Linked DNA regions of Astyanax mexicanus. The protein of the gene in region 3 purifies or fractionates together with the protein of the main gene of each other region. This does not show direct contact. Links are inferred from orthologs where the notes say so. Each region holds a gene or a part of one and is shown on either strand. Other genes may lie near its edges. The genes, in order: vps33a, vps39, plekhm1 and vps41.

Region 1 (7,231 bases), on a different chromosome or scaffold from region 3:
AATATACTAGCATAATACTATTAAACCATTTTACAGTTAAACTAACATTGTATTATTAAGAGCAGACATTGAGCTCCCATTATAAAATTACTAGTAACAAAAAATAGATTAGTAACATTTACATTAATACATTAATACATTATATGATCAAAGACACAGATGCCCAGCAGTCCAGAGCTCTTGCTACAAATGTATTTTTTAATGTAACTGTCAGACAAAATCCGAGCAGGAACACCAAAACGTTTACTGTGGGGCTTGAGGCAGGATCTCTCTGGAGGAACAATATATATATATATAATATTCAGCTTGGAAAATTGGGCTGGATTTTTGTGCTTTAAATTAAATTTTAGCTTTGTTTCCACTGCTTTAAAACAAAGACGACATACCGGCTCATTCACGCTGATGGTCTTATCGCTCATTTGGCTTAAAGCAAAATACTCTCACATCAGAGCCTTGAAACTTTAAAACAAAGTCTATCCGGACTGAACTTCTCTAAACCTTCTAAACCTTCTCTAAAGGCGTTTAGATTTGAGAAAGTCCTATTAGCCTTTCTTTAGAATACGTTCACCAGCCAACACATCTCCACACACTCTGTCTTCTCTGTGTGTGTGTGTGTGTGTGTGTGGGGTGGCATCGTCACTGATGTTCAGGCTCTGTGTGCACTACACTTGTTTCCTAACAGATGTCTGACAGATTCGTCTTTACCTCAGACAGAGAGCCGGTGAGAGATCAGCATTGAAATAAAGCTTGTGACACTGCAGAAGCTTATTGATATCAAAGCTAAACGTGGTCCATCCAACCAAATATTAATGTGTGACCTTTTTTTTTGGTGATGACTTTTTTTTTGGGCCAGGAAGTGTAGATCAAACTAATCTTAAACAGCAGATCAATGTCTTTTTTAGGTTTTTCTGTTTTATAAATGCTAATTGTTTGACAAATTAAGAGCAATATATAATAAAGCTGTGTAATGTGTGTGATTTTTCTCCACAAAAAAGTTATAATGCTTTGCATCTTTTTTAAGCGTGGCAATGTTGTGCGTCACATTCACAGCAAACTCAGTTGAGACCACAGATCAGACTTTTCCACACTCATTTATAAATATTTGTGTACAAAATATTCTGATCTCAGATCAGCTGCTTGCAGTTTCTTAGGTGTGTACTAAAATGCACAAAAAGGTTTTTTTTTTGTTTTGAGGCAGATTTTAAAGCAGGGTACTAAACAAGCTCTGTGATTAAAACGAACTGATTCAATTCGAATCTAAATTTTGAGTTTGATATCATAATTGTCTATAAACAGTGTCTTTACTAAACTCCCTGGGCACTTTTAAACCTCTGAAAATGCTGAAATTCTCTCTGCAATTGGTGGATTAACATGTTCACAGCTTCATTTTAGGTTACTCTCACTTTACCAAACACAGTAGAGGCACCAAAATGAGCTGCATGCAGTTTTTTCTCTCAATACTCCAGTCCAGAGATACAAACTTTACAGCGAAGGGAGATTTTGGACCAGGCCTGGACCAACAAGCACCTGGTGGGAATATTTTGAAAATGAAATAGTTGTTTCTGAGGAGTGACGAGAAAACCTTGAATGTCTAGAGAATCTCTTGTGTCTTTGAGTAAAATGCTTCGACCTTGCATCGAAGGGGAAACAACTGTTGGAAATCGCCTGTGGAAGTTTCTTTCAGTATTTAGTAGTATGACCTTTCCGTGTGGACAGTAGGGGTGTGCCATATCTTATCATACGCAATAATATTGCCAACATTTTTGAATATCGTAACCAATATTATACCCTGAAATATCGTGCCAGATCACCCACCCCTGGGTACTACTTTTTTGCAATTTTTAGCAAAATAAAAATTCACACTGTTTTTTAATTATATCTGTCCAGATTCATTTCATCTTACTTTAATCCTGGATATATGGAGATATATGGAGTGCATTATTAGTATCATAACATTCTGGATCATTGTCTTCTGTTACAAAGCTGATAAAATTACTGTATTTTTAAATCCCTCAATTAGGGGTGTGATATATAATATGCAAATATAAAAATTAAAATGTATTCTTGAAAAAGATATATTTTTTTAATTCAGTGTTTTGTCGTATTGGCAAGAGTACTGTTAATTTGAAAATACCATGAAATATCATGATATTATTTTAGGGCCATATAAACCGCCCCTAGTGGATGGGGATATAAAAAAACCTTGCTTTTTAAAAATATCCAGATTGATGTGGACAGGGCCTCAGTGCCTTGTTTTAAATGTCAGGGCCCTCACAGTTCTACCAATGAAGTGTGGAGCTACTTTGAGTTTGTTAATGGTGTAAAGATAGTGATTTCTCTGCATGAGTAATGCTATGCCCCAATCACTACCACGGTAAACCTGTTGGGAGCATCGGCTAAAAGTGCTGTGTTTGGTAGTTGGAAATGCTGGGGGAGAACGGAGGGGGATTATTTGAGAACAGTTCGTACTAGTTATTGTGTTTCACTACAACTGAAGTCCATGTCGTGCTGGATTTCTCCTTTAATATGGTAAAATAGGCGGATGTGAAATGAAAACAGAGTAAAGCCCTTCCTCAGTGTACTGAGTACATGATTAAACAGCAGTGTAGTATCCAGGATTAACACTGTTTCATATTAAACACGCGTATGTGAATAACTCCTGCTATATATAAATAAAGATAATGATATATATATATATATATATATATCTATATCTATATATGACAGCTGTGAATCAGTGTATATATGTGTTATTTTATGATATTAAACAGTAGCTACACGGTGGGCTGGTGATCTGATGGGAGCTGTGATGGTTAGTTAACGTTAGTAAACACCGCTCTGTAAGCCCGTACCCACCGCCCCGGACTGTACCTTACTCCCCGCGCACTTATCCAGAAACTCCCGCAGCTCCTTCCGCGCTGCTTCCCTCAAAATGTTCAGATTCACTCTGCCGTAAGACAAGTGCGCGGCCATGTCTCCTCCTCACAGCAGCGCCACACTCATCATGTGATGCGGGAGAGTCACGTGGGCAGAGCGGCTTCAGGTTTAGGACAGTCAAACCTCTGAAATCTAGAGATTTTTTACTATTCGCCCAGTATAAAACATGCTGTCAGTAGCTAAAAGAAATATATTTTTCTTTATTATGTTACTTTATTATGAGTTATGTGTCCTGCGTCACAATATATTAATAAAGTCGCAGCGCAAAACTGTATTACCCAGCAACACTAGTTTTAGTACAATTTCTTACTTTTTTTTTACTTTTTATCTACGTTATTTAAACGTTTTTATATGTTTCGAAAAGCTTTCAATCAGTTTTAAACTGTACATATTATTAAACTAGTTCATATTATTTCATTTACAGCCTCAAAACTGATTTTTATTACATTTAAGGGAACTTTTATTTTGACAGGAAATCGTTTTGGACACCTGCCAAGTGTTGCTAGAATCACAATGCTGTAATAAGCGCGCACCGCGAGAGGGAGCGCGCGAGTCACTCCTAAATTAATAGGTGAGGGGTCTGTCTGCAAAGCCGCAGATTTACATATACAGCTCTAGAAAAAGTTTCTGAATCAGTTTCTCTGATTTTTTACTATTTATAGATATATATTTAAGTAAAATAAACATTGTAGTTTTATTCTATAAACTACAGAAAACATTTCTCCCTCTAAATTGTCATTTAGAGCATTTATTTGCAGAAAATGAGAAATGGCTGAAATAACAAAAAAGAAGCAGAGCTTTCAGACCACAAAGTTCAGAAATCAATATTTGGTGGAATAATCCTGGTTTTTAATCACAGTTTATATGCATCTTGGCATGTTCTCCTCCACCATTCTTACACACTGCTTTTGGATAAACTCATGCCACTCTTGGTGCATAAATTCAAGCAGTTCAGCTTGGTTTGATGACTTGTAATCCTCCATCCTATTCCAGAGGTTTTCAGTTTGGTAAAATCGAAGAAACTCATCATTTTAAAGTTATCTCTTATATATAATTCTTATGCTTTAAACATATTTTTTGCATAATAAATGCATAATAATAAAGTTAAAATACACATTTTAGTTTTGTCCCTTAAGGTGTCCAGCAGTGAAACTCCGGTTCAGACTTTCAGCTTCGACCCGGTCAGGAGCACCACTAACTGATTTAAACCCTGACAAAACTCAACTGTCAGATATTTATATCACAGTGTAAGTTTCCTCTAATGTGGTCTAGTTCTGTGTGCTGGGATAGAGAGCTGCCTTATCTCCTACATGAGTTTAGTGTCTGTGTGCACAGATATCCTTCACCACACTGGATTAAAATCTGTATCTACAATAAATTATGTTTCAAAAAAGAAAGAAGAAGAAAAAATAAAATGAAAAACTAAAAAATAAGTCTTTTTTCATTTTTCTTTATCATTTTTGTTTATTGCGTTATCATAATCAAGTAATAATTATTTGATCCCATGCTGATTGTGTAAGTTACAAAGACACAAACATTCTATCTTTTTTGTGGTATGTTTAATTTAACAGATGTTTAATTATTATTTTTTACATCACTATAATGTAAGTCATAGTTCAAGCACAAGAGTGTTATGATTAAGCACAAAAAAAATGAATGTCAATGATTTTTATATGATATTTCTAATTTTTATTTCTACCTTATTCAGTGGATGGGTCACCATGTCAAGATATGTCTACAGAGATTTTATTTACAATTCTACTCATATGCGGAAAAATAGTGAAGAATATAAAAGAAAAACGTAAAAGTTATATATATACCTTATATGAATGTTAAAAGTATGTTTTAGACCAAAAACTAGGCATCAGATCTATCTATTTTGAGTCCAGATAGGCAATATGATGAGAATATGATGACATATTTATTAATCACAATATGCATCATGGTATTTTGACATTTTTTAAATGCAGCAGTAGAAAGAGATCCTTAAAATGCTATTCCAAAACTCGCCCATGCCCGTTATAGTGATTTACAGTGCTAATTCATCTAATTCATCAGGACTAATTATACTCTCTGTAATGAAATGTGCTGCTGGTCACAGTTCTTTAAGCACTGATAACATATCTGTAATATACTCAGAAAAGAATACTGTATTAGTATTCTAACACAATTTAGAATGACAGAAATCATACTGTCATATTAGCCTCGTCTAATTTCGATGAGGTTTAGGTGTGAACTCTCACATCACGTCTAAAACTGTGGACAAAGAACTGCACCCTAGATTCAGACAAATGATTGGAATCTTCAGGATCATAGTCTAGATTTCTGCTGGAGGGTTTCTCCAAAAAGTCGAGCAGCTTCCTCAGCACAGCCTCGATGGATCGTCAGGCCGAAGCCTCCATGACCGTAGTTATGGATGACCTAATGGAAAACAGCACAGGAAAAGTGAAAGATGCAGTTGAAGATAAATTTCTGAAACTTCTGCATTAGAAACTCCTGTAAAACTGCCAGAAAAGATATACTGTATATAAACAGTCCATGCTCTGTATCCTTTCACATTTATATGTTACACTGAACTTTTTTTATATAATGAACTACTTCATATTAGGTGACCATAGATTTTGTTACTGTCCGATAAAAAAGGAAAATAATAAAGAAAAGATCCTACATTTCCTACATTATTTAAACACTTCAGATTGTACTTTTTACTTTGTTAATGAACCAATAGAAAGGCTTCTGTCCAAAATGACATTTCTTTAAACTGACAGGTATTTAACGCAGTATTATTCCTGAGTTAGGAGCAGAAACAAAAATCTCTGAGAACTCACCTCAAACGTGTTCAGTCCAGACTTTATCTTCTCCCTCTCCAGCCTCACTTTACTGCGTACTGGTCTGAGACCAGTCCAGTCCTGTATGATCTGAGCATGCTGAGGAGAGACAGGACACACTGATGTAAAGAAGTGGATGTTGGTAAGTTCCAGCACATGCATGTACTGTACAGTACTGCATAAACATTCAGGACCATCCTCTGTTCATTTAATCTCCAGACTAAACCATCAGTAAGAACACCATACACTAAATTCAACAATGTTGAGGTCTGGACTCTGGATGGTCAGCGAAAAAACTCCACTTCAGAATGCATCTGCCCATGTCACTTATTCAGACTCACATCTGATATATCACACCTGGATCCTGTAGTCCAAAACCAATCCTTTATGCATACAGCCAATGAATAAACTCCATCCCAGAATGCATCTGACAGACACAGACATTATTCAGAGTCGTCTTTTACTGGATCAGACCAACTAATTTTCCATTCTACTCAAGTGTTTGACTTAAACACATCTGTGAATACACAGTTTGGGTTGTGAAATATTTTGAACAATAAAAAAGAGGGGGAGCACAGCGAAACAGGTTACTCGGTCAGAACATCTCCAAAAAACTAGTGGGATGTTCCCCGCCCACCTCCCAACGTACAGGACTTAAAAATCTCAGTCAAATACCACACAACACCTTCACCACAGGTCAAACGGTTAGATCTGCTGTTGTGGCACAAGGGGGAAATACTGAATATCTGGCAGATGCTGTTAATGATGTGTCCAACTGTTGTATGAGCTCTATGGACTGGCAAGAAAAATAAACATATTATATTAAAGTAATTTCACAATAAATACACTTTACACTACACTGGCAGTGGACATGCTACTCAAAACTGAAGAAGACCCCGCCCACATTCCTATCATCCTATCAGACAATCAGCCCAGTATAAATAAAAAATCTCTACTGTAATCTCTGTACCTTTAGACTGGGCTCCAGTTCACAGGCTTCATCCCACACTTTCTTGTGGTCGATGGAGCTGTTCAGCTCACTCCAGTTTCCCCGCTGGAAAATTCCACCCACAGTCACCGAACGACTCCTGAAGATGAAGTTCACAGTTAAATCCTCTTTAATCTACAGCTTCTGGTGTCTTAAAAGTAGCTTAAAGATATAAGTGTAGGACCATATGAAATCTGTTTAAATTCTTTCACTCTTTATTGCATTTTGCTACTTTTGAATTTAAGCTCACACACATTTCACACTGCAGACTGTACAGTAGAATCTAAACAGTCTGCACAGGGGGTTGGTGGTTAACACATTCACCTATCAGTGCTGGGGTCTTTGGTTCAAGTTCCTCTCTGGGTAATTGACCAAACTTGTCATTTGGCCTTAAGCTGTATTTTGTTTTGCTGGTAGTAAATAAAGTTATATATATTTATTGTGATCAACCTGACTGAAATGGTGGTCCCTGTTTACC
Region 2 (7,829 bases), on a different chromosome or scaffold from region 3:
TGTCCTCTTACCCCAGACAGAGTTATAATGTTTGTCTAAATGTGTGTATGATAATGTACTTGTAATAGAGCCAATGTGGAATGCAAGACAAATTTTAAGGAAACTATAAACTATAAGTTTATATAAGTGTATCGTATTGTATTGTAGTGTATTGCAATTATCTAACATGTTTGGTGTTCACACGTTGCTTCTGTGTTTGTGCACTCATATACAATGCTAATGTTGTATGAATAATAAAAATTTATCTTAAAGTGCATCCAGGTCATCAATAAGAATACTTGATTTAGTTTATAGCACAATATGGTTTCTATAAACAATAACAATGAACAAAGTAACTAAATGCTAGAGAAACCTATTTAAACACAATGACTGTTTGTTATGATCCTTTTGACAGTAAGTCATAGTGCGTCCTAAATTAAATCATTAGATTTGCGCAACCTTAAAGAAGGTTGAGATATGGTTTGAAGAGGTAAAATATTTTTTAATGTAATGTTAGCTCATAGCTGCAGCACTAAACTGCAGAACCAGAACAAACATACCAAATATGTCTTGGATGGAGCTACTTTGGGGTAAGAATAGAAACTGGGTAAATCAGATTCTTTTTCGCTGAGCTATTTAAAAAATATATAAATGCACTTTAAAAATATGGATTCAACATACTCGAATCAGGTAGTAATCACGTTTGAAACCAACACATATGGAATTTTCACACCAGGCCATGGACTTGGGAATATCTGGTACTGCTAAATCTCCCTACAAGACACAATACATTTTTAAGAAACAGCAATATGACATTATTTAATCAGAAAGACAATTAATAAATTACCACCTTCAAACTTACCTGCAGCTCATGGAACTCCCTGTCTTTCCAGTAGTACAGCTGTAGTTTCTTTTTTACAGCAACACACATCCGCAATTTTGCTTCACCGGAGGAGGTTTGCTAAGGAAGGCACAAGAAAACTCAACTTCATGCAGTAAGAATGTGAGGGAAATATGTATTAATAAAGACTGGTTTGTCAACACTGGTTATATTATGTAGTTTAATAAATACAATGAATTATTCAATGTGCAGGAAAGATTTAGAGTCATGATTGACAACAGCAGAGTCATGAGTCATGATTGACAACAGCACACACACACACACACACACGCACGCGCACATCCATACAGACCTGCAAGTCACAAGCAAAGAGTGTAGCTCCTCTAGCCTTTGATACAACAGTAATCTGCTGAAAAGTGAGTAGGTCATGGACGTGGATGTTATTCTCTGAAACAAACAAGGATACAAAACTGATTATTACATGATGCACAGTGTGTTAACACTACTGAAACTTGCTAAAGCAAAATTTATAGTGAGAACACATATTCAATAACAACAGTATACAAAATAAACGTAAAGTCTTACCCAGCAGACTGACCAAAATCTTGTACTGGGAAACAACATACAGCTGGTGGTGGAAAAGAGAATTGTCAGAAGTCACATGTTTATATTAAAGGGGGCACTCCAGCCAAAAGGAAAAAGGTAACCATCCTTACATTTGTTGTAAACACACATACTCCTGCACAAAGATGGGCAAACCACATTTCCCTGCTGTAACAAACCTTCTAAACTTGGCAGTTAACAAGTGAGTTGAGTTAGGAGTACTTATGCAAGAAAAATAAAAAAGCAGGAATCCAGCACCCCCAAGACTGCAACTTCCCACCATTGCTGTATAGTGGTAAGTAGATTTAAAGACAAGTATAATTCACTTCTATATTCATTTTTATTTGAAATGTGCATGTAAAACAACACTAAACAACAACTAAACTACATAGCATTTTGAATAGAGACTTTCCATTCAAAAAGGAAATATAGTCCACAACCTAAATTAATCTCTCCCTGGGAAACTGACCCAAAATGTCAAGTGCCTTTTTAGACAGAAACAAGCATACCTGCTGTATCTTCTTTGAGAAGTTCTTGTTGGATTTCTCAAGTGTTACTTCAAATCTATTCGTACCTGTATGAAGTGAGATCAAAAGAGACAGAATTAAAAATTATAAATAAAGTAATCAGAGAGTCTTATGCCTCTTAATGTCCTACCTGCATCCTTCTTGATTCTGTAGAGAAGGAGGTGGCCTGGTTTTGTACCCACAAGCAGCCAGTCCTCTGCATAAACAACATGAACATATTGTAGAACATTTTCAACATAGGTGGTTTAAACACAACGTCTGTTTAATTGTGTTAATGAACTGGGAAAACCTTTTAGCTACAGTATCAAATGCAACTGAAGCAAGGGAAGCAGACGATAAGCAGATGAGCAATGCTATCTGATAGTTGTAGCATTTCCTCACAAATTCCCACAAGGATAAAGATCAATCTTACCCCAGGCCGCAAGGCAGTCGATCTGTAGGGGCAACTTCTCCAAAATAGGTACGGGCTCATAGGCGTCATGCATGGCGGCAGATTTAGCAATCAAAAAGCTAGAAAATAAAACGACTTTAAAGAAAAGTGGAACTGTAAGGTTTAGGTGGCATCTGCGAACCGGGAAGCTGATGAACTGAAAATAAGCCCTTATCGAGCCTAGCTATCGTTCCCTAGCTCACAGCAACAGTGCTCAGAGCTCACATACCAGTTACACAACCCCACTAATTCTAATTAAACTTTCGGCTAACCCTTCTGCTCCATCTCCCGTATTTCCACCACGAATGTAAAAAGTGTGACAGCGTCAGAAAGTGAATATATCACGGGTACAGTGAGCGCTAGCGGCGCGGCTAATTAGTTAGCTAGCTAGCGCTGCTGTATAGAGCTGCCATGGCTAACGCTAGCTAGCTCCTTTAGTCCGAGTGTCAACAAAGCCACAACTGAACTAAATACATTTCATCCCATATTCCGACTCAGATAAGTTCGTGCCAACCTCGGAACCCCCTAGCTATTCCCAGAGAACACCAAACCCCCGGTAAAACAGGCCAGTTCGGGGTGTTGACAGTTTGTAGGCTCGCTAGCTAGCTAGCCAACTCGCAAAGAGCTGTGACCGACTCGTAAACGATTCATTCATTTCAACCGATTCCTTCCAGTAAACAGACCGAACTGGTTCAACTGCATTACACACTCACAAAGTCACACACAGAACAAAGCGGATTGAATTTACTATTGTATTCATTAATTATGATTAAAATAATATTAAAGAAGCAATGCAACAAATGGTCTATTTAATCTGTTTTTGTTTGTTTTGTTTTGTTTGACTTAAGAACTAGAATAACACGAGACATTTTCCACTACTACTTACTATATACAGCTCCGGAAAAAAAAATTAAGAGACCACTTTAGTTTCTGAAACACACTTTTAGACAGTACTTTGTTGGTGCTGCACTGTCTATTTTATTAGTATGTCTCATGTCTGTTGTATTTATTGTAGTATTTTAGCTATGTTGAACAGTTTGTGGCAGGTTTGCCCTTTTGTTGTCTATATTGTACAAGATAAAGGAACGTAATTCCATTGTACTGTACTCAGATAAAATTACAATAAAAGTTTCTGGACTTGAAAAATCATGTTGACATTTTTGAACTACCCAGCAAAATATAATTATAGCTATATGAAGGAATTGAGGCTTCGAGAATTTTAGGCTTGGAAAGAATCGGTTCCTTAGACTGAATCAAACTCCCCGTGACTCTCGCTCAGCTGTGTGAACGCTTTCAGCGCCGTGACAGGCACGTGATATACGTCAAAGCTCACGAGAGCCGAATTACACGTTACACCTCAGCCTATACATACAGACATACACATGTTATGCTGTGTTTGGTTTGCAGTGTTTCTTCGTGTAATATTTTATTGATATGTTTAAAGTAAAGTATGACCAAGAATGCCTCTTTTCATCAACTCACTTATTGTTAAACACCCCAACAGACAGTCATTACAGCTATATGAAATTATTTTGTGTAAGTTGGTAAATATGCTAAATGTAAATATGTTAAAACTGAACTGAATATAGTATTTAGCTGATTATTTACAGGCCATAGCAACATTGTTAAGCACCATTTTATCTTTCAGTGTTTAATTTCTTTTCCAAACGTAACAAACTGAATTAAAATACATAATTGGTGGATTCTGAATACATTAACATAATTCTTAACATCTTTTTTCCCCATTAGAGCTCAGCATTAATGTACAGTATATATAAACACGTATGTTCTAACATATATTAGTGTGTATAGTGATGAATATACAGTCAACAAAAGCACAATGATTAAAAAGTCAAAGTAAATTTTATTATTTTTCAGCCAAACCTCAACAGAGACAAACACAACACCCCCTTCCCATGTCACCAGTAAAGCTAAGGCAATTAAAAAAGAAACAAGCTAACAAGCATTTGATGTACAAAAAATATATCTTTCCACAAATCTTTTATGTAAGAATGATTAACTTTAAAACATAAATATATGCATATAATTAAATGCTTAATAAATGTGTAATTTCAAGTGATCTTATACACAAAAAAGACAAGCTGTGTCAAATTCTTTCCCAAAATAATTGAACCCAACTGTAGACACCCATAGCCAGTGTTGAAATGTTATGCAATCTGCCTTCTAATCAGGCATAAAAAAGATGAAAAGTCAAACCTAGGATTGGTTATCGTAGTTAGATACTTTCATGGCACGGACTGAACAATATCAATACTTGAGAGAGTATTGGCAATGCCAAACTTGAATACCTAAGAAGCGAATGTAATCAACAGCACTGAACCAATTAGTCCACATGTTACCAAATATAACTGCAGATTGTCTAACATACAATCTGTTTGTACATTCTTGCAGTTTTAAGCCACATCCACTTTCTGTTTGTAATTTGAAACAAGATATTGGAAAAAGTATTGTTTAGGAACTGGTAATGACATTAAGGTATAAGTACTGATTAGGTTATTAAAAAGGTTTGGATGGTATTGAGTCAAAATTAAATCTGTCCACATGCTTAAAGAAAGCACAAAAATACTTAAATAAGAAAAGTTGCACAAATAGAATCCCAGCAAAATACCCAACAAAAACAATAAGAAATGGCAAAGAAGATTGACAGATTTCACATTTAGCCTGAGACATATTTCCACATTTTGCCCCAGACCAGAAACTGTCTCAAATGAAAACACAGTACTCCAACCAAGGGTTTCAACTGAGTGACATTTATCATCACTTTATAAGTTCTCAGCTGAACTGGAGGAATAAATATCTTGCTTTTATGCACCTGCATGAAGCCTACTCCATTTTGGATCTCTCCATCCTGGTGTTTAGAATTTCCTGTTAGGAGGAAGGGTGGGCAGACACATACAAGATTAAGGCCTGTTGAGTAATGCTACTGTGAATCATCTGACTGTGAGCATATAATGAGTAAAAATGTGACCATGATCATGAGACACAAAAAAAGCAGTCACTTTACCTCTTCGTCATCCAACACCACAGGCAAAGCTCTGTAAAAAGAGGGAAGCGTTGCACTCAATTAGAATCACAATAAATAGGTTCACTTCCTATAGCAAAACACAATGATTTACCACAGGTCTGGCCAGTGCTTCAACAGTTTGTAGATATTCTGCCCTGCAGACCTTAGCTCCAATGCTAACACACCTGACCCAGATAATGGAGGCCTTGAGAAGCAGTTAAATATTAGAGTCAATTGTGTTTGATCTGAACTACGTAAAACCTGACAAAGACTGGACACCAAAGAATAAAATTAACTAGACAATATAATTTCTTGGTAAAGAAATCATTGCTTGAGAATTTACAGCTACCGGTCAACACTGCTGCATGAGTAATGCCACCATTTTCTCTCTTTTTTTCCCCACAGTATTCATAGTCCTGTAGGTAGCGTTATACAAAGTGACATATTTTGGGAGAGTAAATTATGCTTTTTCCATACCAGGATTCATATTTTCTAGGGTTATTTCTATGGTTGTAGAATTTAATTGTTTAATTGTAGGTAACATCTTTATATTGTGCAAGGTGTTAGTGGAGCTCTACTCACACATCGACTACAGTTGTAGGAATGTTATCTTCCACCCATTTCAGGTCATCATCTTGGGAGCTCTAAAGAACACGGAACAGGAAAGAAAAGAAAAGTGAGGTGACGGTCAACCATCATAGAAGTATGTGTAACATGGATATTAAGTTCTCACCTCTTTGCCGAGTAGTTTTTGACTTGCGTGTGTGTCTGACTTTGCTCCTCTCATTTTCATTCCCTCTGAAAACAGAGCACATGGCAACACGTGAGACATTGTTCCATTTAAAAACTGTGGGCAGGGTGGGCATGACAATAAGAGGGCAAAATATCTTATTAACATAATAAAAATATCTACATGTGTTTTGTCTGATACAGACTCTCAAACACTACAATTCCTTGCTTTGTTGAACAGCATTATTCTGAACATCCACATTTGCACATTCTGAATTACTGAATTACAAGCCTAACTGATCTCTATATTGTACAACAACCATTAAATCATCTTTGTATATTTTTTCATTCTTTATACTTCATCTGTGTGTGTTATATTCATATCTTATTGTTTTGTGTTGTTATGTCACTGCTAGTTGTACCATGTGTGACTATGTATGTGACAATAAACAAACAATAGACAATAGACAAACATGATCAACATATTTATATCAGATTTTCATTTTCTGTTGCACTATATCAGCTTGTTCTCTGTTTCTATCTTCTGTTATTGACATATTTTTCCTGTTTCTGACAGTTTTCAGCATGTGCTTTTGCATAGTTTTAGTTTCTGTCTGGTTCTCTGTTTTCTTCTCCCTTTTTGCTTTTATTTTGAATCTAAGGTTTTGTTTTTTGGAGGTTTTGATTCTCATCTGTTTTTGGGCTATTTTCCTCCATTTGTCCTTAATATTAACACCTTTCCTTTTTTAATCGAGAGTGTGAATTCAATCTGTAATGCTACAAATGTCACAATATTTTTTTTCATAATAAATAAGTAACATCATGTTGTAATATACTGCCCATCCCTATGTTTTTGTCCAACATAAACAAAACAAATACTACTATGGGTATAGAACAGAATTTCCTTTTTTTGTATTTTGTGGTTGAACGAATTCTATCAATATACTGATATTTACCAAATGCTTCATTAAGCATAGGTTCCTTCGCTTCATCATCCTCATCATCTTCCTCATCAATAAGGGGCGAATGGGAAAATCTATGCAAAGAATATGGTCATTTTTCATTAGTTACACTCATAAGTTACAGATACATCATGCAAGCTTTCAGACAGTGTGAAAGGTTACATATCACTCAAGGTTACATATGCATTCAAGGTCATTGCAATAATACACAGTAATTCAGCTAACCTTTGGCTATTGACAGAGGGCCGCAGTAGCACCATAATCACCAGCAAGATGGTGGAGAACAGCAACCTCCAGAAAGCATCATCCACCCACAGTTCTCTCCAAGCCTTAGGAACCAAAAACAAAAGCACAATCTCAGCCACAGACATCACAAACTAGAAAGAGTTTTTCACCGATATCCTACTCACTCTCTGACACTCCACAATCTTGAACTGCTTGGTGGTCCATACGATGAAAATGATAGATGCTACAGTATAATATAGAAGTATAATATTAAGTAGAACATTAGTATAATGCATTTGGCTTGTTATTACTTGTATTGGCAATTCTTTTAAACACGTATTCCCGAATGCTACCAAATGCATGCAAACACATAGCACTTACCCAGCACAGAGAATATGAGGGTGTTGGTAAAGTGCTGATATAAGGAGAGCTTCACCACATTTCTGCGAAGCTTCAGAAGGCGAGTAGTCTGAGACAAACTGATGAAAATGTGGAATCCAGCTGTTAA
Region 3 (6,891 bases):
GTTTCTCAAGTGTGAATAAAAAAAAGAGGGTGGGGTTACTGACCTGCTTGGCATTCTTGGCCTCTGGGACAGAGTCAGCGGTCTGTGTGGCGAGCATGACTCCTGTTCAGATCACATCACTTCTGCTCCACACATCCCAAAACAAGAACAACATCATCATCATCATCATCATCATCATCATCATCTTCATCATCATCATCTTCATCATCATCATCTTCATCATCATCTTCATCATCATCATCATCAACATCATCAGCTACATCTCAAACAGCTCAGTAACTGCATCTCTCATTCATACAGCCCACAACCTCATTTAATGTTTTTTTTATTCTAATTATGCATCTCTATATTTTACTGCTTTAAATTTTAGCCTTTCCACTTATCCTTTTATTTTAAATAATTTTATTTCTTCTTAATTAAACCTTTCATTGTTCGTTTTTAATGGCATATTGTTTTAATTGTTTTTTTTAGAAAGTTCCTTATTTTAGCTTAATCTGATCAAATACTTGATTTTCTTTTATATTATTTTTTTGTCCTTTAATTTGTTCTTAAAATGAGGGTTACACTCAACATATTCCTGAGTGAAATAAAGATTAATTAATTGATTGATTTTGAACATATATTTTAAGTTTTAAATATGTAAATATATCTAAAATAAAAAAATGTACTGGAAAATACATATTAACTAGGTAGATCGTAAGGAACGTCTCAGGGATCCTTTATTAATCTAAGGCAAAGGGACGATCACTGTTACTGTACACTCTTCCTCCTCCTCACACAAAGAGGTAGTAGTAAGCTCATGACCACAGCAGTAAATTATGTAAGTCAGTAAATAAAGAAAGGGAATGAGGACATGCTGTACTTCACAACAGGGGATTCATGACACAATGCTACTGAGACCTTTCCTCAGATACAGGAAATTTCCTCAGATCTAAAAAGATTTGGTCATGAGGAGACAAGTCATCCCTGCTGAGGAACAGACGTGTTGAGATGGTGAATACTGGTGCTGGTTAATCAGCATTCCAGTGTTTATATTAAACAGTAAAACGATCTATATCAGAACAAAATGTATATCACCATATATTTCTTCATTTTAGTTGAAACTATACAATTCTGATACAGATTTAAACAGTGTAAAAGCCATTAATCACCCTTGGTGTACGCAATCACTAAAAAAGGGCTGCGTGGTAACAATATAATTTGACAACATTTAAAAACAGTTTCACGATACACAATATTTATCATATTTTGACACACTGACAGACTAATTACAATACACCAGGGGTGGTATATATGTATATATATTCATACACATATTTTTTTTTACTCAAAAGAGCCCATGCTGATGTATGTGTTACAGACGCTTTAAAAGCTGTGTAAAGTTACATAAGTGACATATACTGAAGACCCTGAGAGCATCACTACATACATGCCTTATGGTTTTGGTGCTTTATGGTTAGTGCTGTAGGTAAAACTAAACTAGCTCCATTTGACTCCATTTGAAAGTGTATTTTTTTTTTTTTTGCTATAACAGGTCTGTTCCAACCATTTTAACCATTAAAATGCTTAAGTAGTTTAATGCTTAAATAGTCCATATAACAAGTTCTCACCTAATCTATAGAACAAAATGCTAATAATAGTTTTGAAATTGTGGTTGTGTTATTTAAGAAAATATGCTCTTAATATTTAAGAAAAAAAGTTCCCACAATAAAAAATAACATGAATGAGCTGCTCACTGAATTTATTCAATAATTAATTTCTGAATATTTAGAAATGGGTCTGGGCTCTATTTATATTTGTAATATTAGCATCTTAAGTGAAGTAAATCTAAAAAAAATAAAATCATGAAGACTTTTACATTTAAAAAAAGTATTTTCTCACGGCTATGCGGACTTTTATCTTGTAAAGATCATAAACGGCAAATCCAGATCCGTATATGTACTTATCCTCACCAGGGTTTCGCTCAAACCGGCCGAGCAGCTCTGTGTACAGCTCGGCTGCAGGGAGCTGGAGCAAAATCCCGGTGGATTTGAACTTTTTCGGACCTGGATTTGCCTTCATCGGCAGTGAGGGAATTTAGTAAAAGCCTAAAGCAAATTTCCAAAGAGGAAACCTGTCTCTTTTAAACTGTTTTATATGTTTAAAAGGGCTTGAATCGCCCAGTTACCCATATTAAACGACATATAGCTATCTTGTTAGCACTATTATCGTTAATTTAAACACTTTACAGCTTGTATGTTAGCATTAGCTAACTAACACCAGCTAGAATCGGGATTTCACAAGTAACTTAGCTATCTAGTTACAAATAAAGAGGACAAAATATAAAGTTGAGGGCCTTTTTTAGCTTAGCTAAGCTAACTAAGTTAAACTAACCAGTTAATTCACAGATATGAGAAGTCTGTTAACTTGACACATAAGCTAACCTAGCTAGTACTTTTATTTTATTAAAAACAAGGCTATAGGTTAGCAAAACTATTCTAACCCATATTTGCACCTTCAGGTGTTTAGCTAACTAAATAAGCAGGACACACAAGTTTCCAGCTATTTAACCTAACCTATGTTATCTATTTTTATGTAAGTTATAACACGAGCTATCTAAGCTAAACAACCAACTGGCCAACATAACTCATATTATATATATCACCCATTTATCTTCTATATATTTATTAAAACACATCAGCCAGTTGTTAAACTAATATAAGCTAGCCTGTAATGTAAGTTTATACAGCTACAGCAATGTTGCTTCATCATCAGCCCTGCTAGCTAACGCTGGCGATCCCAAACAGAGCAGTAAATCCACTTACCATCATGTCTGTCACGGACTAAATGAAGTTTATTCAGAAAGAACAGGGGGAAATGTGTTTTAGATTAAATCCAGCAGCTTCCAGTCTCCCTAACCGAGCTTAAAAACAAGCAGATGAGCGGCAGATGAACTCAGACAGACAGCAGGAACAGCAGCAGTACTGGGTCGGCCCGCTCTCGCTGTAATTTACACACTGTACTGAAGATCCTCTGGCCGCCGCTCGACTGTGGTGGCAGTGACAGGCAGGGTTACCAGATCCATTAAAAATACTAAAAATATGTCAAAATTATTGGCATTCATTACTCTGTAGATAGAAGTATAGATACTGGGGTTTAAAACACAACAAACAAATTAGCCCAAACTGTGCTTGTTTGAAAATAGATGTAAAAACTAGACATACATAATAAAACTAAAGGTTTGGAGGACACGAACTGTTTGATTTGTATTCAAGATTTGTATTGATTTCAAAATGAATTCAGGAAAGATCTAATTTTATGATTTTATTCAATAATATTTTGACAGTTGCAAATTTACTTGACTATTTTTCTATACTTTCTATTACAATTCTATTACATTTTCAGTAACGTTCCTTATCAAGCATGAAAGCTTTTTATGTATTGCTTGAATAGAAATTCAGGAAATTCAGATTTAGGGCAGACAATTGACAAAAATCTTGGCCTCTTAACGGGTTAAAAAGATTCTAATAAATAAGCAAAGCAATTAAAACAAAAGTATAAGAAATTTTGTATAGATACAAGTCAATCAGATTTAAATATTCTACTGCCTGACATCTGTGTTAGAAAGTGCATTAGTGTAAAAGTTTTTAATCATTCCATAAAAGATCTTTTCTCTGTCCCACAATTCTCAAATATTTCCAATAATAAGTCAATTATTTACAAGACACTCCATATTTTGAAGGCTTTTTTGGTGGCCACTGACTATTTTAAAAGTAGCCATTTTTTTTACCTGCCCTTATATTTACAAATAAAATCACTTTGGCGGGAGAATTACAAACCTGGCAACCCTGGTCACAGTCTGATGTTCTTTCCACAATAAAAGTTGAGCACTGAGCACGGTTTAGAAATATTAGAAAGGCTTATAAATTAAGTTTAAAAGCTTTTAAAATGATGTCTAGATATACAATACTAAATATTCAGTGTTGAATATTTATAAACTATCATATTATATATAAATTATATAAACCCATTATTTTTAGACACACTCGAGCGCGCCCTCTGGTAACCTACACACCTTAGTGAAGTCCACAAAAAAACTTTGGCATTGAAATAAAAAAATTACGTTTGTGTATATAAAGTTTACATTTGTGTAAATTAGAGATAGGAGATGGCCCTAATATAATATAATAACGTTTCATGGTAATTTTATGATGTGATAAGCAATATGACAAAGCATTGACATGAAAAAAAAATATTTCAATAATATGCTACCTCAACAAAACTAAATGTTAAAGTTTTATTTAGCAGAAATATTATATGAGTAGAAACAGATATATATATATATATATATATATATATATATATATATATATATATATATATATATATATATATATATATAAACGTATATACGTCTATTTTATATACGTCTATTTTATAAACAGTAACTTACCAAGACTCAGATTAAAAACAAATAAAAATACAAATAATGTAACAAAATAAAAAAACACAAATAAAGTAATGTAACAACAAAAAACTACCACAAACCTAAAGTGCTGCATATTTAGTGCACAAATATGAACTGAAAACAAATAATTAAAAGCAAATACACTAAATATTACAAGAATACCGTAATGCCAAGATATTGATTATGTTTTTATTTTGACCGAAAGTCCTATATACACTTCTAGTGTATACAGTATTTAATCAATAAAATCATAATATTTACAATATACTCCACACTGAATCAGTATATAGAAAAAAACATATTATATCATCAACATTTAAAAAAAAATTATGATTTTCCTTAAAAAGAAAAATTTTGTCTTGCCAGAAATCCTCTATATATAGGAATTCTCTGATTTCTGTTGTTTTCTACCTGCTGGTCCGGCAGTCAGAGAGGGGCTTGTGGGAGTTGTAGTTTTACAGGACGCCCGCTCTGGCCTGACTGCGTAGAAAAGTCCGGCTTTAGGAACTACATCTTAAAAAAATAAAAGTTTTTTTTACACAATTGGTTATATCTAATGTCCCGAATTATTATCATTTTATTTTAATTATATATTTTACTGTTGTGTTCTTTTCTTATGTATACTAATACATATGATTGTAGGTTTATTATTAGTTTTTTCTTTTGCATTGTGATTTAGCAATGCATTGTGGGTGACGTAGGTATTTAGGTCCATTATGCACACTCATATCTAACTGTATAAACATTTATTTTTACTACAAAACTACACTTACACAAAAAAACGACCATAATCTAAAATAGTTTTTGTTTTAGTGTTTTGGTCGATTTATTTTGGTGTTCTCTCAAAAATAGAAAAACAAAAACACAACAGCACAGTCTTCATACTTTCAATTTCTCTTTCTCAGGAATTACATACTTGGGCATTTGGGCGGGAATTTCCTCAATGTTTCGTCATCAACATGACGACAGAAAACCAGCTAATGTACAGTCCTATACCAAAGTTCAGCCACACTTAAACAATACGTTTCATCATTCATAAGAAATATGTGTTTTTATGAGTGTAAAATTACCTCATTCTACGAGCCAGTAAACAAGAATACTGTTTATCCACTGGTCCAATAAATTCAACCACTTATAGACTGTTTACCAAGTGATTTACTATATATTATTACTAATATTACAAACACCTGAGATACAGACAATACTGATAAATAATATAATATTGAATAATATAAAATGTTTCTAAATCTGAATATTATTTTCTTAAATAATTTACAAAGGGCAACAGCAGTAGGAAATTATGGGAAAATAATTAAAATAGATGATATAAAAAAATGGAATTTTGTTTAATACAAGGTTTTTTACAAGGGTACCCTTGTGAAAAGAAATTATACTTAAGAGTTTTAAAAGTATGTTGAAATTAGGTAAAGAATACTAAAAGGGCATTTTCAATTTAATATACTCAGTGAAAATACACATAAAATATACTTCCTCTCTGTATTTCCATAAAACTTATTTTGTGCTTTAAATTAAACATTGTGTTGATAGAAAATATAGTTAGATATAGTAGATATAGTGGCATTAAATACTGATTAAAGTGCACTTTAGTGCATTTTATGTTCCAGTAGCATTAAGGTGAACACAATATGTCCATCAATATGCATTTACAAAATTTACAATATACTTCAAGTGTATTAACAGTTCACAGAAGTTATATGAGAAAAAAAAATAATGCCTTTATGTTGTATTTAAATATAGCTTAATTACAACTGAAGTATACTTAAATATACGTAAGTTGTTCCAAAATATTGCATTTAGTATGTATTAAAGTATTCATAAATTTTAATTCTAGAATAATTCACATGTCTATGTTAAGTATACTTTAAAAAAAAATACTTAAATTCACTTTTCTTGTTCTAATTTACCACCATTCAGGTCATCCAGAAACACCTGCTATCCCCTTGCTTAAGAGGAATTTAAGTAACACATATTTGTTTTAATAATGACCAATCAACAAAACACTGCATTTTTGAGAAACATACCCAGTCAGAATTGTTCACAATAGTGTTGAATAGAAAAAGATGTCCAAAGTATCTAAAAGCTATAACACCAAATGTTATGAATAAACTGCCCGCTGCCTGAGACACTATTTTCCAGAGTTCTGAGAACAGTTTTATTTTAAAATCATAAAATTTGATTATGGTCAAGGGATTACCGGTACATGACGTTGTTGTCTGGCAAAAAATAGACAGAAAAAAAATCTTTATTAGCAACTAAATTAGCAACATTCCGTATAAAATAAAATAAAACCATGTTCAATGGTGGGTTCGGATATTAAACTAAATGTTGTAGATTTGTGTTGTAATCATTTAATCATGACCTTGTTCCATTCACCACTTCTGTAAAGAATTAAAGTAGATTAGTTTCTCTAGAACAGAGCATTT
Region 4 (7,643 bases), on a different chromosome or scaffold from region 3:
AGCAGGTAAACCCAAGAAGAAAGGAAAAATAAATAAAATACACCGATCCTTAGGCAGGATTGAACCCATGTCATCAGTGTAGCAGTCATATACACTACCGCTGCCCCAGCTAATGAACTGGGACACACCCAGGAAAAAACACCCTTATAAATAGGTAGGCAAGTTCCAAGTTTAAACTCCAGTGAATAACTGTGTTCACATTTTTGAAATGTTATACCTCCTCTAAACTTAAATGAACACTAACCTTATGCTGTAAACTATCAAGAGCTTTTAAGGTAATTAATTGTGTTCCTTGTGTTTTTGTAATAATAGGCTTCATGCAAGATTATTCCATAAATTCATATTTTTAAACATTTCAAGACCAAAGTAACCAAACTGAAAATTATTTAAAGAAAGCAAAGTAATCAAAGTAATGCTCTTTTCACCAATCACCTGGTGTGATGCTTTGCTGGAACAACTGAATAGTCTGTGACCATTACAGCTCATTACAAAAAGATGGTTGGATTTAGGTAACCTAGAGGAAGTACATAAACAAGTAGCATTGCGTAATAGGGGACTAGAAGTTGCAAAAATCACTTTTGAAATGTCATTGATATCCTAAGGATATTTAGATGAAAACTGATGATACTACTTGTGTAGTCCGAAGTACAACTGCCTTAATACAATGCTATGGCCAGCATTCAACATTCTAAATGTATTATGCTAACATTCTGTGCTAGCCACAGCATGAGACAGGGTGCTTTACCTACCAACTCTCATTTTTTGATAAAAAGGAAGTTTCTTGATTAAGAGGTAAAGAGGAAGTTACTGCTTCAGGGAGAGACATTCTGCCTTAATTCGTTGGCTTGAATGTTTTATTTTAATTTACACTTAATGCACTTTAATCAATATTGTAACACTTAATATGTTAAATCACACTGAACCGTGAAATACAGTACAATATAGTGCTGTATATGTGGCTATTGTAACTTTTGACAGAGACATTTTACTTAAATGAATTAAATGTGAATACAAACTGTTATATGTCTATATATTAAAAATAACCTCCAATATAAGTGTACTTATGGTACATCTTCACACATAGCACAAATATTGTATTAGAAAGTGTTGCACTGTATGAAGCTTTTAAAGTATCAAGGTAGAGAAATTATTTAGAGACTTAAATCATTCCTTTAATTTAATAAATAATTTCTTCATACATGAAGCAACTCCTACCAATCTGTTTAATAAATGATTCCCTTTGTTTAGCTACATTTAGAGAACGAATTGTCAATTAAGGGTAGGATTTATTAAACTGAAAGATAGGGCTGGATGATATCATTATCATTATCATATTTCCACACAGTAATGTGTTTTTTTTTTTTAAATCACACTCAGATGCAATACATTATGGTATTTTCTTTTTATGTTGTGCAAAATACTTTCAAAAATACTGTATAGATATTTACAATACATTTCCCGGCCCTAATAAAGATTTTATAGTGGATGTTTAAAAGTAAATAAAATAATGAATGTAGAAAATGTAAAATGCAATTATATTTATATTAGTGGTGTCAATTAAAATACTAGTATATACTTGTATGTTTGAGGGGAGATAAAGCCAATATGGAGCGCTGGAATGAATAATGCATGATGAATTGGATCGAGAAAACTTTTTTTTACTTTTTGAAACATCTCAGCTTGATTGTAAGGAATTCTAAATTAGAATTTAATTTGCTGAGTATAAAAAGGCCTTTTTACATCTGTAGTTTGTTTCTATGCTCTGGATCAGTTGATGAGTTTGTTTACTCTTCCTCTGTTTGGTTTGGTTTCACACAGGCATAAACCTGTGCACCAAAATGCTCACCAATAAACCACACAAGCACATGTCTCCTCTGATTGGCCAGAGCTGTCTGGTGCTGGAGCTGCGCTTTTAAACACAGTTTTTTCAATGGGACGTGCAACACAGGTGTGAGCAGTGAACGCTGCACATTATTGCGTGTGTAAACTGTGCCTTATCAGCAGTTAACTCAATTAAAAATAAGTATATTTCATAGCTGGGTTGGACTGAGACTAGATCATGATCTCTCCACAACAGATCAGTCCAGAAAAAAGAAATCTGTGCGCTGGGCAGTGCAGATTACGGCAGAAGTTGGGGTGAAACTTGGTGGCATATTTAATTTTTGTAAAAAAATAATAACACGTTACTGATTCCAAATTAATCGCATGCATTAACGCCTTAACATTGACAGCCCTAATAATAACTGATTACTGTATTTAAACTCAAAGTAAACAAGGGTTTGTTTATATAATATGCTCCCTAAATCCAAATCTTACCTCTGAATCATCTGTGGACTCCTCACTTGGTTTTCTCTCCTGGAAAAAAAGACACAGTCTTAGCTTCCCATTCAAATCTAGCTCAGTTAAATTACCTAGTTAGTCTAGCAAGAGTTAAGTGAATAGAAAAATTACTAGCGCTACCACACACATCAGTGTCTATATAGGATATAGACGTGTAAATGTACATAAATAGGATCTACTAGTAGTAGTGGTACCATAATAATAATAACTAGTAATGAGCTGAAGCTAAGAGCTGATATGAAGACAGTCAGGGGAAACTGTTGACACTAGCATTGTCCATACGTCACCGTAATAACAGTTCACACAATAAGCACATTAATCGCGTATTTTCGGTGAAACAGTCTGTAATGTAATGTAGTTAAACTGAACGCTCACCTTCTCCTCCAGTTCCGACATGGCTAAGCTAGTGTTAACCGCTAGCGTTAGCCTTAGTATCCGTCAGTAAGAGGAAACAGGCGCCGCAGAAATCCGGTTTCTACACTAAACTCTCCGTTTATAATCTTATAATGTGAAGAAAAGGCGAAAGGGAGCCGTGACCGAGCTCTCCTGTTAAACTGCACCTCTTCTTAGCCGTAAAAACACAGTAAAATCCTCAGTTTAAGCTAAAGCAAAGCAGCTGCAGCATTTTGACACTAGTCATGAGCACGGTCACATGACAACAACACAAGGAAAGAGCAGGGGCATGCTGGGAAATGTAGTTTAATCCCACTCATGCTTTCTGAGAGTTGGCTTGTAAGACGACCAAAGGTATTGCTCCTCAAAAAAAATATTTCTCTGTATTTCTTATCCTCATTGGGGAAAAAATACTTGGCTTGATATGGCTTAACAGCATATGGTATGTTTGTGTCTGACAAGCATGATCAAACTGAAGAAGCGAGACCACCAGTAACAACAACCAGCATACTTAAACCAGGATTAATTATGCTGGTTGACTAGCATGCCCACCATGACCATGCTGTTCTGCTACCTTCAATTCTCCTCGGAAATTCAGGTAAGTGATGTTTTTATCCCATTAGAACAGTGAATCATTCATTTTTTTAATGTATTGCAACTGATTTAATTGGTTAGCTAATAACAACCTGCAAGTGTTGAAGTGTTGTAGCAATAACAGAAATATAAACAGTTTACAGTTTACAATACAGTTTACAAAATTGTCTGCATCAATTTATTGACCTCTTGTTACTGACACGCCCCCAACTGGGAAACTCTAGGCTTATCTAACAATCTGAGTTTCCCACTGGCAAATATGAGTGTGTGGTGGCGTTTATGTGCTCGGATCTCGTAAATACTATATTTTCGACAAAATAATGGTTGACCAGCATGACCAACAAGGCGAAGCTGTTCAATCAGCATTACCAGCATGTGTGAGTAGCTGCCTTCAGTAAATCTCTTCCATGAAGAAGTTGGATCGTTCAAATTTACCATTCCATCTTAAATGCTGCAAAATTACCAGTCCTTCTTGAATGGTGCTAATTTACCATTTCACCTTGAATGCTGCTAATTTACAATTTTACCTTAATGCTGCTAATTTACAATTTTACCTTAATGCTGCTAATTTACCATTTCACCGTAGATGTTGCTAATTTACCGATTCACCTTACATGCTGCTAGTTTACCATTCCACCTTAAATGCTGCTACTTTACCATTTCACCTTAGATGTTGCTAATTTACCGATTCACCTTACATGCTGCTAGTTTACCATTCCACCTTAAATGCTGCTACTTTACCATTTCACCTTAGATGTTGCTAATTTATCAATTCACCTTACATGCTGCTAGTTTACCATTCCACCTTAAATGCTACTTATTTACCATTTCACCTTAAACGCTGCTAATTTACCATTCCACCTTAAATGCTGCTAATTTACCATTCCACCTTAAATGCTGCTAATTTACCATTCCACCTTAAATGCTGCTAATTTACCATTTCACCTTAAATGCTGCTAATGTACTATTTTACATTAAATACTGCTAATTTACCATTCTACCTTAGCTGGTGCTGTGGCAACACACAGGCTTCAGGCTGTAAGTTGCATTTTTAGGCGCTTGGACTTAACGTCTCACCCCGTCTTAACATCTTTATGTGGAATAAAACGTTCACATAAGAATCCAGGTTTAGTTTACTGTTGACTGATTGTCATTTCTGCACAACATAAGCAGAATTATATAAAACTTTTAAGGCACTTATACACATGCTGAAGGCTCAAGGTTTAGTGTTTGATTTATTAACTAATCCTCTAAATTCAGTGTTTAAATTGTGTACATTATGATATCTATGCTATGCTTTTTTAGTAGGCCTTTAAGGGTCTGGGCATGTGCCTTGCCTGATTCTGAGGAGATGCAAAAAGAGGTCATCATTCAGAGTTAATCATGATTCATCCCCAGGTAAGTGTACATCAGGCTCCATGACACTGTCCGAATATTCAGCATCCCTGTCTGTATAATCCTAATGACCCGGAGGAGAAACAGTCATTTTTATACCCTCACCCCAAGCTTATTCCTATGCGTTTGAGAGGACGGGACATTTGATTAGATTTACTTAGACATTCTTACATTTTGATTCGTAACAGACCGCTGCCATACACGGCCGTGGGATAGGATCATTTGCGACAGGCTGTCAATACGTCTTACATGATTATGCTGATGTGGTGTGGCAGGCCAAGAGGCAGGGTTACCATATTCATATACAGGAAATACAGGCCACAATATGGAAACTGCTGTTTGGGATTGAGGGCATACTATGGCATGTTGGTTTGTTAGACCCATACATTGAATGCAAAATTCAGATTAAATCTGAATCAAAGTTTTAGCTTTGTTCTTATTCTTATTTAAGTCTGGAATGTATGACCCAAAAACTACAAAAATGCATGAAAGGGATAACATGACTCACATCACATTTCACAGTTGTATCTTTAACATAATTTTTAATGTAAAATCTTCAGTAGGATGTAAAATTTACTGTACATACACAGTATGTTTATATATATTTATTGACTTGCTGGAATTTAAGCTAAAATTGTGTTGAGTGACAAATATCACTGCTGGCAGCATTTGCAGATGATGTAGCGATGATTCTTGCAGACATGGCCAACACATCTCACACAAAAAGTTGGCACCCTTCAGTTCGTGGCTGTTGGGCAGATTTCCCATTGCCTCGCTGTACTGTAGACAAATTGTGTCTGAAGCAGATTCTAAACAGCAACTGATACAATGAGACATGCATGGAAGAGGCATATCAAGTGATGTAATGTTGTTAAAATAATGTTTTGATAAAAAAAGATAAGAAAAGAATAAGCCTGGCACAATAAATGTTTTTATTGGACAATATATTATCCCACAAAAATTGCAACAAACAATATTATTGTCATTTTAAGAACATTTTATTCCACTGATATAATGAAGGGTGATTAAACAACTGTATGAAGATGTAGGTCTACAAGTATTGTGTGAGTGTATATGATCATGCAGAGTGAGATCAGATCCCGGTGATTCATGGAGAAGATAAAATACTGCAAACAATAAGTTGACAAGTAATAGCAAACAAGTAATAGTGCCATAATATTTATTCAATTTAGGAAAAAGGCAATTTCCATAATGCTGTTTTCCAGTGTATGATGTAGGTGTGATGTAAGTGAGCTACACCTACACAAGTCATTTCAGTGTTGTATGATAACTATATTAATAATCAATACAATTACAATTAATAATAAATACAATTTTTTATAATTTTCAATAATTAGACATGGAAAATATGTTTTTATTGTGTCAAACTGTGTTTTGTCAGAATTGATGTGTAATACTCTAATGCCATCTGGGCTCACACTTTTCATTCATACATTAATGGTAGTTGAAATGTAAATATATAAGATATATTGAATGGTTTCCCTTTGAATTGTTGCGAGGTCAGACTTTTACACTCTTGCCTGTAATGTCTGTTAAAGGCGGTGGTGACCAAATCTAGTACATGTGGTAAACAAGACAGGATCTGAGGAAAAATGCTAGATGAAACACACAGGCTTATCTCGTAGCGCAGACCCCGGCCTCGTACAGAATACACTATCAGTCTCGTCTGTGTTTTATGAGCTACTTCAGAGAGTGCTTTTTGCACCGTTCGACACCGCGTTAATGTCCACTCATCCATTATAGCTGTAGATTTCATCTGTATTATATTCCTGGCAAACAGCGTGGTAAATACTTGAAGAGCCCTCAGGTTCTGAAGTCGGGGTCACTTCATCAATGCATTATCCTTAGTATAACTGCTAATAATTGATGAGCAGAAGCATAGTGCTCCCCTGCTTACCACATCATTGGCTTTGGTCAGTCTACCTTTAGGCTGTTGCTGAATTATTCACTCCTTTTCCACTTCTTTTTACTACATGGATTTTATACCTGTGATGTTCGTCTAAGACAACTCTGACTTTTAAAAGAATTGATGCTTTAAAGACATTATTGTTCGACACAACGAAATTGAACATTGTTACTGAAATATAAAAAATCCAGTCTGTGATTTAAAATTATTTTCAGTATGTTTTAAACATTTAGTTTTTTTTGGACTTTTGGAAAAACTCACCGGCTTTCCAAAGTTAAGCAAAATTTGATACACTATAAATACCATAGATGCACTATAAATAGGATACTTTTTCTTGGTTCTACTACTGGTTCTACAAAAAGAAATGGGAACTGGTTCTAAAAGGGACAGAAAATATTTTTCATTAAAATAAAAAGGATGTATTTACTTTTAGAAAATTAACAAAATGTACCATTTGACCAGGGATGCTGATTTGAAGTTCCATGCAAGCTTTTACAACATAGGCTATTTATTTAATTATTATTTGCATCCAATTATGCATCCAAGTTATAAATAGAGATGCATTTTTCTTTATAATTGAAAATTTGAAATACCAACACTGTCCAGCACTTTTGTTATTAGGTAATGATTCTGGTATTTATTTGTAACAAATATAAAAGAAGATTCTTATGCTTCTTCTTCTTATTATTATTTATAGTATATTTGTATGCTATATTGCATAATATTCTGTTGAGGAACGTTCGGCTACAGTAATTTTTTAGGCATTTTGATTCTGGAGCGTTCTACAGCCAAGCTATTTTAAAAACGGTTAGAATCTGGCCAGATGTTATTTGGTTTGTGAAGAATCATATTTGAAAATGGGTGTGGGACTATTGTTTACCTCCAGTAGTTATACTGTAAGTGATTATGTGTACAGTATGTTTATGTGAATGTATGAGAGAAGTGTGTGTGTACTGGTGTGTAACTGTTGTAAATTATTGTAAATAAAATAAAA

The links.
Region 1: the proteins of plekhm1 (region 3) and vps33a purify together in Homo sapiens (affinity purification with western blotting; 3 studies listed by BioGRID and IntAct, with this or other methods). This does not show direct contact. The link is inferred for Astyanax mexicanus from reciprocal best matches to the Homo sapiens genes PLEKHM1 and VPS33A.
Region 2: the proteins of plekhm1 (region 3) and vps39 purify together in Homo sapiens (co-immunoprecipitation; 3 studies listed by BioGRID and IntAct, with this or other methods). This does not show direct contact. The link is inferred for Astyanax mexicanus from reciprocal best matches to the Homo sapiens genes PLEKHM1 and VPS39.
Region 4: the proteins of plekhm1 (region 3) and vps41 purify together in Homo sapiens (affinity purification with western blotting; 4 studies listed by BioGRID and IntAct, with this or other methods). This does not show direct contact. The link is inferred for Astyanax mexicanus from reciprocal best matches to the Homo sapiens genes PLEKHM1 and VPS41.

Annotation. Positions count from the first base shown.
Region 1 is NC_064429.1:3,077,629-3,084,859, forward strand, and holds the start of vps33a (vacuolar protein sorting-associated protein 33A), read right to left. Parts: upstream 3,027-7,231; 5' UTR 2,974-3,026; coding exon 2,872-2,973; intron 1-2,871. Other genes in the region: D-amino-acid oxidase, read right to left, coding at 5,248-5,358, 5,766-5,864, 6,736-6,853.
Region 2 is NC_064421.1:20,441,299-20,449,127, forward strand, and holds the start of vps39 (vam6/Vps39-like protein), read right to left. Parts: upstream 3,027-7,829; 5' UTR 2,436-3,026; coding exon 2,363-2,435; intron 2,147-2,362; coding exon 2,081-2,146; intron 1,998-2,080; coding exon 1,933-1,997; intron 1,449-1,932; coding exon 1,406-1,448; intron 1,268-1,405; coding exon 1,173-1,267; intron 941-1,172; coding exon 842-940; intron 754-841; coding exon 661-753; intron 1-660. Other genes in the region: transmembrane protein 87A, read right to left, coding at 5,225-5,266, 5,406-5,436, 5,988-6,049, 6,139-6,203, 7,091-7,170, 7,322-7,425, 7,507-7,565, 7,703-7,809. UniProt on the Homo sapiens protein: Regulator of TGF-beta/activin signaling, inhibiting SMAD3- and activating SMAD2-dependent transcription.
Region 3 is NC_064422.1:10,630,923-10,637,813, reverse strand, and holds the start of plekhm1 (pleckstrin homology domain-containing family M member 1), read right to left. Parts: upstream 3,021-6,891; 5' UTR 2,805-3,020; intron 123-2,804; 5' UTR 98-122; coding exon 44-97; intron 1-43. UniProt on the Homo sapiens protein: Acts as a multivalent adapter protein that regulates Rab7-dependent and HOPS complex-dependent fusion events in the endolysosomal system and couples autophagic and the endocytic trafficking pathways.
Region 4 is NC_064408.1:103,282,612-103,290,254, forward strand, and holds the start of vps41 (vacuolar protein sorting-associated protein 41 homolog), read right to left. Parts: upstream 3,003-7,643; 5' UTR 2,737-3,002; coding exon 2,716-2,736; intron 2,356-2,715; coding exon 2,317-2,355; intron 1-2,316. UniProt on the Homo sapiens protein: Plays a role in vesicle-mediated protein trafficking to lysosomal compartments including the endocytic membrane transport and autophagic pathways. Acts as a component of the HOPS endosomal tethering complex.